Linked DNA regions of Oryzias latipes. The protein of the gene in region 4 interacts with the protein of the main gene of each other region in a biochemical or structural test. Links are inferred from orthologs where the notes say so. Each region holds a gene or a part of one and is shown on either strand. Other genes may lie near its edges.

Region 1 (3,964 bases), on a different chromosome or scaffold from region 4:
GGAACATCATATTCTCGCATAATCAGAACTTTTTAGGTCATTGTTTTCTTACTGAAAGATAAATGTGACACAACCATATTATGGAGATTATAGCGTGTAAGCAAATGATAATTACATAACTCCAACATCAATGAATTTTTATTTTGTAGGAACAAAATCCTAATTCACAGGAACCATTTCATTCTTTGTTTACCCATGTCAGGTCACGGTAAATTATTCTAAAAAAATTGCTGTAATAACTATCAATAGAAAAAATTAAGGTGCCTGTTAAAACAGCTGAAACAAGTTTGAGTACTTACATCTTTTTGTGGAACTTTTTAATGTTGTTGCAAAACTCTGATGCAAAAAAAGGTTCAATTTAACCATTTAATTCTACAATCTTGGTACTAACGTTTTTAATAATCCAGGATAAAATATTCCTAATTGATTGTATTACTTCATTACAATAGAAGCAGGGATTATTCTACAAGAAATTTTAACGCATAAGAAGATTATTGAGTGTGCAGAGCAGTGTGAAGGTGGAATATGACCCCTGCTGCTAATGTGATTAATGGCATGTGTGGTCTCAACTCAAGTCCACAATTCCAGGTCTATAAAGTCCACTCATCTTTTGATTTATTTTCAAAGTATTCCTAGTGGTCTTTTAATTATGTTTATGCGTGTATTAGCCATAATCCAAAAACCTGTGTACTTTTTTTTAAGACATAGTTTCTGCAGAGCGGCAGTACATTAGAAATTCACCTCTGAGATGTGGGACCGTTGGTGCATAGCAACCCAACCCCCCCCCTTCCCATCATCCCTTTGTCTACACTCTCTCCTGCTAGCTTACAGCCCTTTACAAGCCAAACCAAGCATTAACAGTGCGACAAAAATACTGAGCAATATCAGAGCTATCCAGTTGTACAGTTTTGAGTGAGATGCCAGCTCGGATGAGGAAAATAAAGATGCATATGGATCTAGGCATGGGAGAGTTGTGGAAAAGGAGTGGTATGTCTTGTGTATGCAAAGGTTTTTATTTGTACCTATAGTCTCAAAAACTGCTCTGATGTTCATAAAAGTCACAAAAACCAAAGTTATTGTAATAATTTAAAACTATACAGCAGCAGTCCATCCGTAAGGGGCCAAGAGGATCTCAAATATGGGGTTCTGTTTGAGCTAAAAAATATGTTTTTGCGTCCACTGTCTATGTCTACTGAACAAGTTTATTGAACATTGGTTCATGTCTATGTAATACTAAGCAGTATCTTCTGCGTGCCCCGTGCTTGTTTGATTATTACAATGCATTTGCTTTCTGACGGCTTTGGCAAAATTTGACAAGCGACGCGACATGGGAAAACGACGTACCTAACGACACTAGCAACGGTTGCTAAGGGCTTTCCTGACAACGTAGTGAGGCGATATGGGGAAAGTAATAATCAAAGAAGCATGGGCACGCAGACGATATTGCTTTGTAGTACATAGACATGAACCAATGTTCAATAAACTCGCTCAGTACACATAGACAATTGACCAAAAGACACAGACAAAAACATATTTTTGGCACAAACAGAAACCCCATACTCACAGGACTCTACTTCAAATAAATTATTAAAGTAACCAAAAAACAAAGAAGGGAGGAGACCAGAGAGGAGATAAGAGTGAGGGATCTGCTGACCGGACATTCTGGGTGGGGTTCCATCTCTCTGAGGGCAGCTCTCCACTCTGTGGGTCATCCACTGGTGGATGCAGAATAGAAATGCACACGTCTCCATTCTAAAAGAGTGGAAAGAAGGTCATTTGCTGCAGCCACAACACAAATAAAACACAATATTACACTGTAGTCATTGTGATACAACACCTCATAGATGTTGGGATGCCACATTTTGGTGAGGAAGCGAAATGTTGGTGGGGAGTATGGATAGTCTATAGGAAACTTGATGCGAGCCTAAAAGAAGAAATCCATTTGTTGTATTTGTCTTATCGTTTGAGTTTAGCTCATTATATTTTCTTGCCATTTTCACTTCTTACCTTAAAGTACCCCCCTTCATAATGAGTGTTTGGTGGTCCAAAAATGGCCACTTCCCAGTTGTATAAATCAGCTTCGTCCACGAGAGTGATTTTGAATCCCTCCACAGGCTCCTCCTGGAGGCTCTTCATCTCCAGCATGAGAGCTTTCTGTGAGCTGGCGACATGAGAGGAGTCGTGTTGCGCCATTCTGCTTCGTTTGGTTTTTTGAGGGGATCTTAATTCGACAGCCGATGCTTCTGTTTACGAAGCTAAGTTTGATATAAAACAGTCGAGCGACCCACAACAAGTTCTGCGTTTTCTACCTCCAAAAACAATAAACACAGGCCGAACCTATGGCTATAATGCTGATGTGCACAAGCCAAACAATACCTTCTCTGCTCTAAGATCCCAATAACAACGTGGGAATATCAACACTCACAACGGCTGAGTTAACCGAGACATTATAACCTACCAGCACCTAAAGATTTAGTCAATTTACCAGGTTAACCGCGCATATAAGCCGTAAATCTAATGGTTGCTGCTGGCTAATGTGGCTAATCAGAGTTACCGACCAGCCGTAGCCGATGATCTCAGCACAGAAACAACACTTACTGCACTTTAGGAAGCGAGACGCGTTTTCTAATTTAAAGAGGTACTAAACTACAACGCTGAAGACACTAGCAACAAAGTACGTTTGTGCTGCCATCTGAGAACACGATTAGGAAAGACTGTTGCTGAAAGGACTCCCCTGCACTCTGAAAACAGCCAACTCCCTCTGGTGTATGGGATTTGTAGTTCGGTTTTGTGCATTTTATCATTAGAAAACACCTTTCCTGTATTTAAGACAGAGTATGCGGAAAATATAAGCACTTATAATTATTTTACCTATAGAAAGAACGTTTAGCTTGACCAAAGTATTACTTTTGTTATCGAAAATGTTTTCAGAGGGAAAAATGAACTACATTCGCCTGACTTCGTAAGGACCCCAAGTGTTTTTCTTCTTGTTCAACAACTATTCAAAATGTTTTGCTCATTTGTGGGGGAAAAAACATTCAAGTTGCTTTATTATTATTTGTTCGAAATGTTTTGTGTAGTTAAAACAAACAAAAAAAAATTAAATAATTTTTGCTATTTGAAATACTTGCCAATAATACTCGCTAACATGACGTCATATTCGTGCGCACTGTGGATTTTTTTTGACCGTATTAATGTTTTTAAGTTTTATAAAATAACATATTAAACAACAATTAATAGTTTGTAGCATTGACAGTTGCAACTTTTGTGCAATATTTATTTTTCATTGTAAACGGTTTCAAGCTATTACCTCTTATTTACGCGACACAGTGCCTTTCGGACCCCGCACTGTTAGCAAGTTCGTAATGGGATCCAAATCTCGACGTAGGTCCCGGTCAAAATCAAGAAGCGGGAGCCGAAATCGGCGAAATAAATCCAGAGAGAGCCGCTCTAGATCACATGACAGAAGAAGAGGTCGCGGCAAATCTGTGGAAAAACGAAAAAGCGGCCCAGGAAGATCCAGCAGCAGCGATGCTGGGTCTCCTTCCCGAGGGCGGCCTCGACATCGACGTCGCTCTGGACCCAGTAGTGGCTCCGAGAGCGACAGGCGAAATAAATCGAAGGGCCGATCATCAAGGTGAGCTGGACATATCAAATATAATATATAGTGGCAACAATTTTTCATTAACATTTAAAAATGATTTTCATCGACACATAAATTAACATTCTAACAAAAAACTCCAAAACAGTATCTAGTTAACTGTTTATTCTATGTTATTATATTTTTTATAATCTCCAAAGTTAAGTATTTCCTCTCATGGTATAGTATATATACATAGTTTTTCCTTTGTCACCCCATTACCTGCGTAAACAATTAGTCACAGGGCAGATTACTTGTTGCAGAGGCTTTTAGGTTGTCTGTTGAAACCTGTAACCCATCACTTTTTGAAAGTATTACCTCATT
Region 2 (4,154 bases), on a different chromosome or scaffold from region 4:
AACTTCAGGACAACATCCAAAACGGTAGAAATGTTGCTGAAGCAGCTCTTTGGCAAGTTTGATGCTGCAACTAAAGTTGTCGCCGACTTGTATCGTCTTGCAGACACAACCAACCTGAAGTAACCTTTTAAATGTTACTAAATTAAATTTAATGACAGCGCCGTCACTGTTAAAAAATCTCCAACGGGTTCTTGCCCGCTGCAAAAAGGATAGCTTACACGTATCGATGGTGATCAGAGAGTCGTCTACGCCCTCTTCCTCGTCTTCAGCTGGAGGCTGTGGTGTTCGGGATCTATGAAAGATGAACACATTTCAACAAGTCAGCGAATGGAAAAAGGGAAGCGCAGCCTTCATCTCAAACCCGTTTGTGTCAGTCAGGAGAGGGAAAACGGGAGTTGAGGATGTGCTCACCTCTTGTCCTCCCGGTGCTCGTAGTAGCTGTAGCCTCTGCTCTCATCATAGTGTCTCTTGCGGCTGTAGCTCCCACCTCTGTCCCCCTCCACCTTGACCTGTTCGGGTTCCGGCTGCTGCTCTGTCGGAGCCTCTTCCGGTCGGCTCTCGGCGGGCTCTGGTTCATCTTCTGCTTTGACTTCCACTTTGACTTCTTCAATGAAAAATAAGACTGCTTTAACGGGTCAAGTTTCTATAAAAAACCATGGTGAATGTCAGTGAACTCATCAGTGTGTACACCAGGCTGAAAAATGACCTTCTGTGCTCCTGGCATGCTGTTCCTCCTCCTCCACCTCCTCCTCCACTTTTATCTCAGGCTTGGCCGCTTCCTCAAAGGCCATGCTCGACCCTTGCAAATCATCGTCAGCGGTGAAGTCGGGCATGGGGAGACCCGAGTCAGGCGCCTGCTGAGGTTCACTGGCCTCCGCTTCTGCCTCTTCTTCCTCGTAGTAGCCACCTGAATCCCCGCCTTCTTCTTCCCCTTGAGGGGTGTTACCTTGTCCATCTTCATCATCATAGTCTTCAGCTGCTTCTGCTAAATATAAACAGATAATTAAATTGTTAGTCCTTCATCTGAACTGAAAAAAAATCAAAACACTAAACACATTTTCCTACTATAAAAATCCACTTCAGCATAATAGCAATTATAATATAAACTATAGTAATATTTAAGTGCTACATTAAATAACATATATGATAACTTTTGTTATCTCCTGAATTAACAATAAAACTTTCAACAGTTTACTGTTTTGGTCCAAAAAATGACATGAAAATGACAGAGGAATATATAAGACAAGATCAGAAATTGGTAAAATACAAACTTAAAAAAATAAATTAAAAATCATTCAGCCAGCCTTAAAATCAGATGCATGGCTTCGGATAAGCAACAGGCTTTCTTGACAAACTAAACACAAACTCTTTAAAACTTCTTTAGGATCACGGCAAAACACAAAAATTAATTTGAAAATACTTAACAGCCAACAACAACCAAATATTTATCACAGTTCTGTTGGACCTTGAACTTTTGGAAAGCTTAGGGGGGATTATTTTTAATGTCTCATTATCAGTATTACTACTAAAACCACAATGTGGAGACAATACTCTAGGTTCTAAGCTTAATGTCAACATTGTTCCACCAATTACTGACTTGGACATCAAGACAACAAAACAAAACACTATTAACATGATTGGCACAATTAAAACACTGTAAAAAAGATGAAAAACATTAGATTTTTCTTTGGATACAAAGAAAGATCTGCACTGTAGTCTAAAAAAATGATTAAAAAGGGACAAATGTATTTAAAAATGTGTTAATATAAAAATTTTAACAACACAAGAGGAAAATTCTAAATGATTGTTCACCCAATAAGTTTCTTTCCTGTCTGAAATGTAAAGTACAGCCAGAGAAACACGATCCTCTGTTGTTTTTTTCATGTCACTGGTGGTTTCAGAGCGCGGTAAAGTCCCTCCAGAGGCTCTGTCCATTCAAAACGACACAAAAGCGATCAGCAACGACTGACCTTGTTGCTCTTGGGCGTCATCTCCGTCCTCGTTGTCCTGGAAGTCCTCACTGAACTCATCTTGCCCCTCTTGCTCTCCAGCATGATCGTCCCCATCAGCTTCAGCCTCCAGAGCGGCTTTCAGCCTCTCCACCAGGTCAGCCTTCAGGCCCCGGGTGTCAAGGCCGCGCCGCTGAAGCTCATCCTTTAATTCGTTGACTTTCAGTTTCTTCACGTCTAAACTCATTGTGTTTCGCAGTTTGTGGGGTCTGTGTGGTGTTTTCCTTGAGCAACGAGGCAGAGGAAACGGAAATAAGGCGCACAGCCTAAAACGGAGCGACGAACTTTCATGCATTTGTGCGGCGCGGTGCCTCCAACAGAACGCGCTAGCGTGGCTAAGCTAGCTCATCCATTTGAACATTTACGGAATACACATATTCTAAACACGCGAAACATCATTTGTTGTGGTCTTTAAATGTCCACATCTATGCCATAGCAAATCTACCACTCGAATTACAAACTGATATTAAACTACAATCGACCTATATTTACGTCGCTATCAGCAACAACCTTCCTAGCTTGTTTAGCTAACGTGCCTACCAGCCTTTTACAAAACAAGTAACTCAGAAAACCTGCATGTTGCATGTTCAAATATAACTTCTCTTCCTTTTACTTAACTTAATGCACGACGCAGTCGGTTGTTATTACCGTGAATAAGCAAAATACAATTAAAAAACAAGATTAAGGCCTACCTGCTTTTCCGCGGGTTGCGCGGCAAGACGTTGTAGAAGTCTGAAAGAACAACTACTGCCCCCTAGCGGCGCTACGTCGAAGTTCAAAACAGACGCTTTGCACATGCGCAGAATTGTTGTCAATAATAAACTTGAATTTCAGTTATGAGCACAAACCGACTTCAAATTATAGCTTTTTGTGAAAAGTTGCAATATTGGGACTACCTTGTCTTTATTATAGATAGGGAAAAAATACTCTCTCTTTAAATTTGGCATTTGTTTATGTTCTGTTGGCTTCATATCACATTAACAACATAGTAAAGCAGCTCATCTCACTCCATTTTTTTAAATCCAGTTTTTGTTTTACATGACAGAAAAAGAAAATTACAATACAAGAAACTTTACAGACAGGTTCATTTTTAAAGATAACTTTGTGAAATGTTATGCGTAGTTATGGTTTTTCCAACTTTTAACTGCAAATGAATATTTACAGCATTCCGACTGCATCACTGGATTAAAAAGATGAAGAAATATGCTAATGTCACAAAATATATTACCTTTACACAGCGCTGTACACCCAATGTCGAATGCAAAGTCAACCAGATAGAATCCCTATGAATATCATAGTGATGCTTTTAAAACTACTAGCTCAAAGTGAGCAAATGACTGGTTAAAACTCCACAAGTGCACTGAAACCCAGTGAGTCAAGCTAATAGCCTACAGTTTCATTCTTTCAACACACACAGATCAACAGTATGTAAAGCGGCGACTCTAATCACTTTTTTGTGGGAGCAGGGGCAGGAAGGGAGAGAACCAGCCTGTTAACTTCCCTCAGCTGAGCATCTAAAGTCTCTGTTATTAGTGTTAACTCCCCTATTTGAGTCTGTAGACTGATCATGGTCTCGTTTAGCTCCTCCTCCTTGCGGCGAGAGTTAGCAGCCTGCCTGCTGTACTCCAACACCATGCAACCGCCACCGATGAGGAAGATGATGGCCTCCCCCAGCAGCTCTGCGCCCAGCTCTGCGGCTGCCTCCTCATTCAGCGGTTTGACGGTGGAGCCCCGAAAGCCCATGATCCGCATCTTCGTTCTCATCTCGATCCAGTGATAAACTGTCAGGATATTAAAGAACAGGAAGTCAGAGTCTTGACAAAATGTTTCAGGTGATTTAAACTGGGCGGGGGGGCGGGTCTGCAACCTGCAGCTCCGCAAACACACGTGGCACTTTTACCCAGACCTATTGTGGCTCTCTGGTTAAAGGAAAATAAAAAGATTTTAACTTTAGAAAGTAACTAAAGTAAAAAGAATGTGGATAAATAGTGAAGTAAACCAACTGAAACTTCATGAAACTCATTCACAAACAGTTGGAGAGTACAAACTGTCCAACAAACTAAAAAAACACAGATTTTTGTGTGCCGTGCGCCCCCAGAAAGTCAACCAGAATTAAGGCACGCCAGTTTATGAAGCAGATTTTCT
Region 3 (3,992 bases), on a different chromosome or scaffold from region 4:
ATCCATTTGTTTTTGTTTTTTTACATGTTATTGTGTCATTTTTCTCTTTAACAACATCCATGAACAATCTCCTAGGTCTTCCTTTAGATCCCTAGCTTCCTTTTACCAACATAAACTGTGTGTCTGATCGGGTCTAAACCATTTCAATCTGCTTCCCTTTGTTCATCTCCAAAACTTCTAACACAAGCAGCATCACCACAGGAAACAAGAAGGGGCTCAAATCAGGTCCTTGGTGCACGTTGAAGTCTTCTATCATTTTGAGTCAGCTCAGACGAGGAAAACGAACTCGAAATGCAATTTTGTGCTTTCTTCATATATGTCAATCATCAGAAAAATGCCACAAGAACATGTTTAAAAGACCCAAAACAGTATTTTCCACAGGCCATTAAAGAGGGCATGAGGGGGGTTGGGGCGAGCGAGGAGGACGCAGAAGAGAGAGTTCGATGGAGGCATTTGATTTGCTGTGGCGACCTTTAAAAGGAGAGCAGCCGAAAGACAAAGACGACTGCTGTTTTGCGACGACTGCATGCCCAACAAGATTACAGAGCAAAACAGTGTAAGCAGGGTTATGCAATTGGCCTCATGCGCTTCCCTGATGTCACTCAATGAATACCTGGGAAATTCCCTATTAAGTATTCAAGTCTCAGTCTCATGATCCTCTAGTTTAAAAGAGGGCTGTGGCACAAAGCATTGCCAAAATACATTTCTGGCCACGAATGCATGACTTAAATCTCAATAATAAATCTAAATGTCGGTTTCTGTTAATGGATTTCTATTTTATAAATAAAATGTATCTTCACAGTGTCATATGTGGGTTTGAGCCTTGCATTGATTGAACATAAATTACGTGTTAATATAGTCTGTCTGCAGTTTACAGTTCAGTATTTCCTTGATAAACTGGTTAAACAGGACTGGTAATCTAAAAAAAGAGGTTTTAAAATGTTGCAATTCTATCTGTAACTCCACGTGAACAGTTAAGAGTGACATTGTAGTGATTTGTTGTTTGCTTTTAACTAGGAGATCAAACAGTCAGTGGAATAAAGGGACAGAGTAAACAACTAAAATCATTCAGTCCACAGGGCAACAGATTTTAATCTCCCCTATCTGTTGCTCCAGACAAAGAAACCTTGATTAGCTTAGCATAAATCCAAGAAAACTGGATCAAAGGGCAAAAGAAAGACTGAATCAAGCTGGTGAAACTTCAGTGATGACATTTCACCACCTGCTATTGCATCAGACAGCAGTGAGGGTTTATTTATCATTGCTTTCTGGATTTAGATAAATGAAGACACTTTAATGCTTCCAACAAAGTGATGCTTGCTTTCGCTTCTGTCCTACCTGCAGAAATGCTGGTGGGCGATCGGGCATTCCCTCAGAGCGATCATCTGTAAACCTCACCAATCGTAGGAAACCTGGGTATGATGGAGCGCTTACTTGTCCATCAGGAGTGACAAAGAATATCTGAACACCATTAGGAATGTAAATCAGCTCCTCTCCATCTTCTCCTAGACTCTGGGTGGAAGGTGTAGAGATGGCTGAACTATTGTAGAACTCATCCCCAACCAGCGACATCTCCCCTGATTCTGTTCCATAAGAGATGGATGTGTGGCCCTCCGCTGCCTGGGGGGAGTAAGCTGGAGGTGTTTGGGTTGGAAACATAAGGTGTAGGTTTGGAGCCATGCCTCCTTCAGCTCCAAGAGGTGGTCCATTACCAACATTTGGTGGATTTGGCCTCTTTGGCTTCTCTTTGGTCTGGAGCTTTGGGTAAAGACCATTTGTAGGCAGATCACTACAATCAGAAACACTAGTAGAACTCTCCGTAGGTGCAGACTCGAGGTCAGAGCTGGTCTCTAGAATGGCGAGGCGAGTTGTGATGTTGTTCAGGGTCTCCTCCATCTTCTGCTGCATCTGTCTGGCTGACTCCCAGGCGCTGCCACCACACTCATCCCCGTGTGAGGGCACGCTGATGGCCCTGAGAAGGTGTTTCCGGCCTTGCTTGTAAAGCTCCAAGGCTCGTGTCTTGTCTCCAGCTTCATCTGCAGTGAGTCCTTCATTGATGCACTCAAAAGCCCTGTCGTAGCCATCTTTGATCACCTGAAGTCTTGCATTATCAAACGCATCTTGTTTAGCCTTTTCCATCCCCCTAAAAGAAGAGTTTAAACGCAGCGTCAGAGTACAGGTTAGCTTGTAAAAAAAAAAGAACTGTAAAACAGACAAACGACAAACATTTACACTTATTTAAGCTGCACACATTGAGGCAAAAGGGTTATTTTGTTGTCTACGCCACATAACTTGCAAGCAGGCGAAAACACATTAGGCACCAGGCACGTGACTAGAATGAACCAACAAGACTCCAATTGCGTGACGGTTAATTTTTCATGCTGTCTATTGCGGACGTTCGCTAAACTTAAAGTGAGCTATATTGTAGATAAGGTAATTGTATACAAACGACGTCAGATGCTCACTTATAGCAACGTATTTTTTTTAATAATTTCCTGTAAGAGACCGTGAGCTGTCAAAATAACACTGCTGACATTAGCTTTAGCTTCGTTTTAGCTACTTAAACTGACTTACTTTGCGGCCGTAATTTGCGACGACTCACTAACTATCTTCAAATGTACCTTTTCTGTTTTAGCTATTAAAAAGAAGGCTAAACCCACAGCTCCACTTACCAACTGAATGGACTTTATAGGTCAGGCTCCTTCAAAATTGTGAAAGGCTTTAAAACAACGTCACATCCCTTTGTCGACCTTTCAAAACAAGAGTATCCTTTAATGAAGAATCTCAACTTTGTTGTGATATCAGTTTTGTTTTGAAAGTATTTATCGGAAGTTGTTATTCACACAACTACGCCATCGTCTGTATGCCTGTCAAATTAAAAGTATGGAAGAACATCCACAAATTCTAGGTTTGATGAATTTCAACTTGAAAAAAATAAAAATGTAATTCTTAGTTCTCATAATTTTAGTCAAAATGATCATGAGAAAAAAGGTTTTTATCAATGGCAAAATGTCATACTCACTAAAGCAAATTTGCTATTGAAAACTAAATTTAAAAAATATTACTTAAGCAATATTTAAAAACAATTTCTTCAAAAAGCACAACAGCTCAAAAACTAGGGCTGGGTATTACCAATAATTTTCATTACTTTGTTTTGTTATTTTTTTATTTGTTTGTTTTAGTGTTTGTTGTTTTAAATTTCCTATTTTTTGTTTTGTCCAGTTTTTTTCCTTAAAAATATTTCTTTGTACTGCATTTTGAAACTTTATATCTGTATATTTATGTTTTTTTTAACAAGCATTCATTAAAAAATAGGGCCTGTCAAACTGCGGGACATCTTCTACTGCCATCTTGTGGTTATTTATTATTAAAAAATATTACCTAATTTGTTGTAATACTTTAATAGAAATCTTGGCAAGAGAGCGATTTTGTTTTTGGTTTTTTTTCACAACAACCACTATGTCGTTAACTGAATATAGATTTGAATATAGAGATACATTATTTTATTTTAAAAATTGTTTTAATTTTGGTTTTCATCCAACTAAGTTAACGGGTGGTCCTTCTGAAGTGCTTTTCTGGCAAGTTGCTTTTAATTATCCTATTGCTTTAACTTCTATCCAGTTTCTTAACCTGCTTTATCCCTTGAAGGGGTCAAGGGGTCGATCGAAGGCACCTTTGGGCGTATAGGCACATGCACACCCAGAAGCAATTGTTTTTTAACTGTGCCACAATTCAGCCCCATTACTTTAACCCTTGTGTTATCTTATGGGGTCCGTAAGTAAGGTTCAGCGAGGGTTAACATATTTATTTAACTTTTTAATGAAAATTTACAGTCCCCTTTGAACTTTGCATCATTCTTATTGTGGTCTGTTGGACATCAGGGAATGTTACTGACCTCTAGAGGGCAAATAACCGTAAATAAGCGTTTTGACGGAATACTAAAAAAATAAAAACATTTGGCTACTTATGGGCATAAGATTGAGAAGAAAAAA
Region 4 (3,500 bases):
ATATGCTCATCAAAGGCTAAATGTTGTTAGCCCATGTTAGTCTTCTCCTAGCCCTGCCTTCTTCCGGGTCCGTTCTTCAACAGAAAAAGCACTGACCACATGGATTAAAATTAAAATGATGAGCGAACAGGCACTTCATAATAACATTAATAAAAGCACGTTTAGAAGATAATCTCGTATATTACGGAGCTGCCAGATATCTATGTATGCAGCCTCTCAGTGGAACTCGTTTCCTCTTCCGGTCTTTCAAACACTACACAAACATTTGTGAATGATTTATTCCAACCGAAATTGTGACCCATGTGAACGTTTGTTATAATCCGAAAACGTTTTTCTGGGCCCACGTACACAGTTGGATTCTAATCCGACCATTGATCCGATCAAGATATTTTGCACATGAAACCGGGGCTTATGGTGTCGACTCGCAGCGTCGTGGGGGCGTGGCATCATGATGGTGTCTCTTCATCGTGATGTCAGTCAGCCATCACGATCGGCACAACCCTAATCCATCCCTTTATGCATTTGACCAATCGGATGGAGCCCTTTTATTAGATGTTCGCCTTCAATGTAGACAAGGCTCACTTGGAGTATCATTTAAGGAATGTCGACTTGTTTAATTTAAACTGTTGGATGTTTTTGGTTATTTTGCTTTTTTGTTCATGTATCTGTATTATATCGTCATGGCAATATTGATCACTAATATCGCGAACTTTCCTTTTATCGTGCCCTGTCTACTGCACAGAATGAGTTCACATCTTACCAGATTTACATAAATCTTCAATCAGATCTTTGTTTTCTAACTGTTATACTTGACTTAATTTTCAATGGAGGTTTGAACTTTCGAAGGGTTAAGAGGGTTGGGGAGGGAAAAGTGTAAAAAAAATGTTCCTGCCTGTCTGAGAAAAGTGTATACAGTGTGTAGTGATGGGAATTAAAGCCTTAAAACTTTTTTTTTTTTAAAAAGCACCGACTATATTGCGGGTTTCACCTCACACAGGTTAATTTAAACGAGGGACCACTGTATAACCAAAAACTACACCGAGTTTGTTGAAAAAAACACTAAAAACTGTTCAGATGCTCAGAAATGATGAACCATGTTGACTGTTGTCTGACTTGTAGCCCATTGTCTGCTCTGTGATCCAGGGAAAGACATTTGGCTGTAAGGCGCATTAGCATAAACAGCTTCAGGCATTAATTGGTGTCATTGCTACTCTTCTACAACAGATGTGCTGCAGGAAAAGCCTTGGGTGATCAGGAAGTGGTGCATCTACCGAAGAAGACTGCTATGAAACAAAGCGAGAGAGTTTTTAGAGATGCCAATAAAAATCTAGTTTTCAAGTCTGATAAGATGAGCACATTATGTAAAAAGCAAAAAACCAAAGTGAATGAGTTTCAGACATCCATCCAGTAATGGGCCAACAAAGCTGAGCTCTAATCTACTTATTAGCTGGCTCACAATGACATAACAATCCCACGGGCCCTGAGGCTTTCTCTCCACAGAAGTGCGTACTTTTTATTCCATTTAATTCCATTTTAATTCTATAGCCCAACATTACTATGTTCTAATGGGTTTCATACACTAAGATTTGGTCTGCGCGTTTCCTTCCACTTACTTTTCATGTTATTAGACTTCAGTATTTCACTAATATCCAGGGTGGCGATGCCAAGCAGCACGTCAGACTTCAGCGGCTGGTAGCTCCACACCCGAAACACCAGCTTGCTGAACGGGGTCACGATCCTGTTGGGGAAAAAAGGGGTTACAAATCGTTTAACAGCATAAAAAAACAAACTTTCTTTAGCTTTGAGTGAACGGATAAAGTGTTGCTTAAGTGAATAATTTACTGTAAAACCCAGAAGCTAAACCAGGACAGCAGGTCTCTGTGACATGACAGCTGTTAATCCAGCGCCCTAAATGCCTGCAGAAGAAAACCGTGATCCTGTTACATGCTTTGGAAAACACATACTGTGTTTTCACTGACAAGCTATTTATCAGCAGAGTGTGAGATTTATGATGTATTTAAATGGCAACAAGTACAACCTATAAAACTTTAAAGTTTATATCAAGATTAATAAAACAAAGTGGTCAACAAATCATTACCTTCATAGGTAACCAAATGACCTAGATTTCATTTTTGAAGTGTTTTTAATGTTAATTGTATCCGTTTATAAATTTGTTGAACTCATTCTCATGTTTATCCTGAAAATAAACATTTATAACAGTGAATATTACCCACATTCATCATAAAAAGGAGTGAAAAACGTGCGAATTGCTGCTTTTACTGTCCTTTTCAGAGACTTTTGGTTGTGTTCTTCCAGAAGAAACAGTTTTTAGGAACAGTGTTGCCAACCTGCACTGATCCTCATCTGTCACATGCTTTTCCAGAATTCGTTTACCCAAAGAAAAGATTCACAAATTCTTCACGAATGACTTGGTTTTAAACCAAAATCCATCCAAAAATCCAGATGTTTTGAGCTCTAAAGAAGTGCACCACTTTTACCTAAAGGCTGAGAGTCAAACCAGTTTATCCAGACAGCTGGAATATTTAGAAAAAGTTCAGCTGCTTCCATTTAAGGTTTTTAAATTAACACTTTCTTCTTGACATCACCAACACAATGCTAACTGATAAGTCCATTTTAAAAACAAACTATGGCTAAAATGATTTAAAAAATGAACATTAATGAGCTGTAAACCTTCAAAAAACAGTGAATCTTTATCAAAGTCCCACTCCCATCATCTTTTGATCAGTTTTCAAAGCGTCCCCAGTGTTTCTAGGACATAGTTTCTGCAGAGCAGCAGAAGTTCCCTAGAAATTCACCTCCAGGTTGTAGGTGGGTCTGTTGGTGCAGAGTAACCCCACCCTACTTCGCCTTCCTGCCACTGAAAGCTTGGTAAAAGGAGCTTGTGGCTCGCCAAGCATATTTTCCACGTCACATATACGCTGTTTTTCAAACTGCATTTTTCTTCATCTGCTCCTGATTCACAAGGACTTGAATAAATAAATACTCAGAAATGCAATTTGAAGCTTAATTTTCCATATACATGTCTTCCATCATGAGAAATATGCTACAAGAACATGTTAAAAACAGGATTTCCATTGTAGTGTCTCTCCAAATACTTATGAGCTTTATGAAACAACAAGCTAACGACATTTAAAACATTAGGATGGGTATTTATTCAGAGGTTGATCACAGACTATGAATAAGACTGAAAGTGAACTGAAACGGTCCAACTATGCCTGAATCTTTATCGGTCAGCCATACTGACTGTTGGAACCAGCCTCCTATGCTGAATTTCTGTTTTTTTTCTTCTTCTACTTACACAGTGAGTGGTTGCTTCCACTTGGGGCTGTGGGTGTTGTTGCATCGTTCAGTTTTCTTGCATTGGCCGTCAACTGACAGTTCCACGTAAGGACTGGGACCAAACCAGTTCTTCTTGTTTTCTCTGAGTTTAGCTGAAAGCACTGGAACAGAGGAGAGACGCAGCATGATGAACAGTCCGA

What was found. The genes of interacting proteins can lie anywhere in the genome.
Region 1: the proteins of E3 ubiquitin-protein ligase Itchy (region 4) and ubiquitin-conjugating enzyme E2 R1 form a complex in vitro, tested with the Homo sapiens proteins (3 studies listed by BioGRID). The link is inferred for Oryzias latipes from reciprocal best matches to the Homo sapiens genes ITCH and CDC34.
Region 2: the proteins of E3 ubiquitin-protein ligase Itchy (region 4) and hnrnpul1 form a complex in vitro, tested with the Homo sapiens proteins (2 studies listed by BioGRID and IntAct, with this or other methods). The link is inferred for Oryzias latipes from reciprocal best matches to the Homo sapiens genes ITCH and HNRNPUL1.
Region 3: the proteins of E3 ubiquitin-protein ligase Itchy (region 4) and spartin form a complex in vitro, tested with the Homo sapiens proteins (2 studies listed by BioGRID). The link is inferred for Oryzias latipes from reciprocal best matches to the Homo sapiens genes ITCH and SPART.

Annotation. Positions count from the first base shown.
Region 1 is NC_019875.2:22,330,713-22,334,676, reverse strand, and holds the start of ubiquitin-conjugating enzyme E2 R1, read right to left. Parts: upstream 2,801-3,964; 5' UTR 2,194-2,800; coding exon 2,008-2,193; intron 1,925-2,007; coding exon 1,838-1,924; intron 1,753-1,837; coding exon 1,655-1,752; intron 1-1,654. Other genes in the region: cactin, read left to right, coding at 3,366-3,637. UniProt on the Homo sapiens protein: E2 ubiquitin-conjugating enzyme that accepts ubiquitin from an E1 ubiquitin-activating protein, and catalyzes its covalent attachment to other proteins by an E3 ubiquitin-protein ligase complex. In vitro catalyzes 'Lys-48'-linked polyubiquitination.
Region 2 is NC_019871.2:3,002,468-3,006,621, reverse strand, and holds the start of hnrnpul1 (heterogeneous nuclear ribonucleoprotein U-like protein 1), read right to left. Parts: upstream 2,801-4,154; 5' UTR 2,702-2,800; intron 2,234-2,701; 5' UTR 2,197-2,233; coding exon 1,971-2,196; intron 986-1,970; coding exon 707-985; intron 605-706; coding exon 412-604; intron 293-411; coding exon 219-292; intron 1-218. Other genes in the region: opa3 (optic atrophy 3 protein), read right to left, coding at 3,456-3,790.
Region 3 is NC_019871.2:8,294,728-8,298,719, reverse strand, and holds the start of spartin, read right to left. Parts: upstream 2,801-3,992; 5' UTR 2,673-2,800; exon of another isoform or gene 2,575-2,672; intron 2,144-2,574; 5' UTR 2,140-2,143; coding exon 1,339-2,139; intron 1-1,338. UniProt on the Homo sapiens protein: Lipophagy receptor that plays an important role in lipid droplet (LD) turnover in motor neurons.
Region 4 is NC_019865.2:2,027,175-2,030,674, forward strand, and holds part of E3 ubiquitin-protein ligase Itchy, read right to left. Parts: intron 3,462-3,500; coding exon 3,320-3,461; intron 1,739-3,319; coding exon 1,614-1,738; intron 1-1,613. UniProt on the Homo sapiens protein: Acts as an Acts as an E3 ubiquitin-protein ligase which accepts ubiquitin from an E2 ubiquitin-conjugating enzyme in the form of a thioester and then directly transfers the ubiquitin to targeted substrates.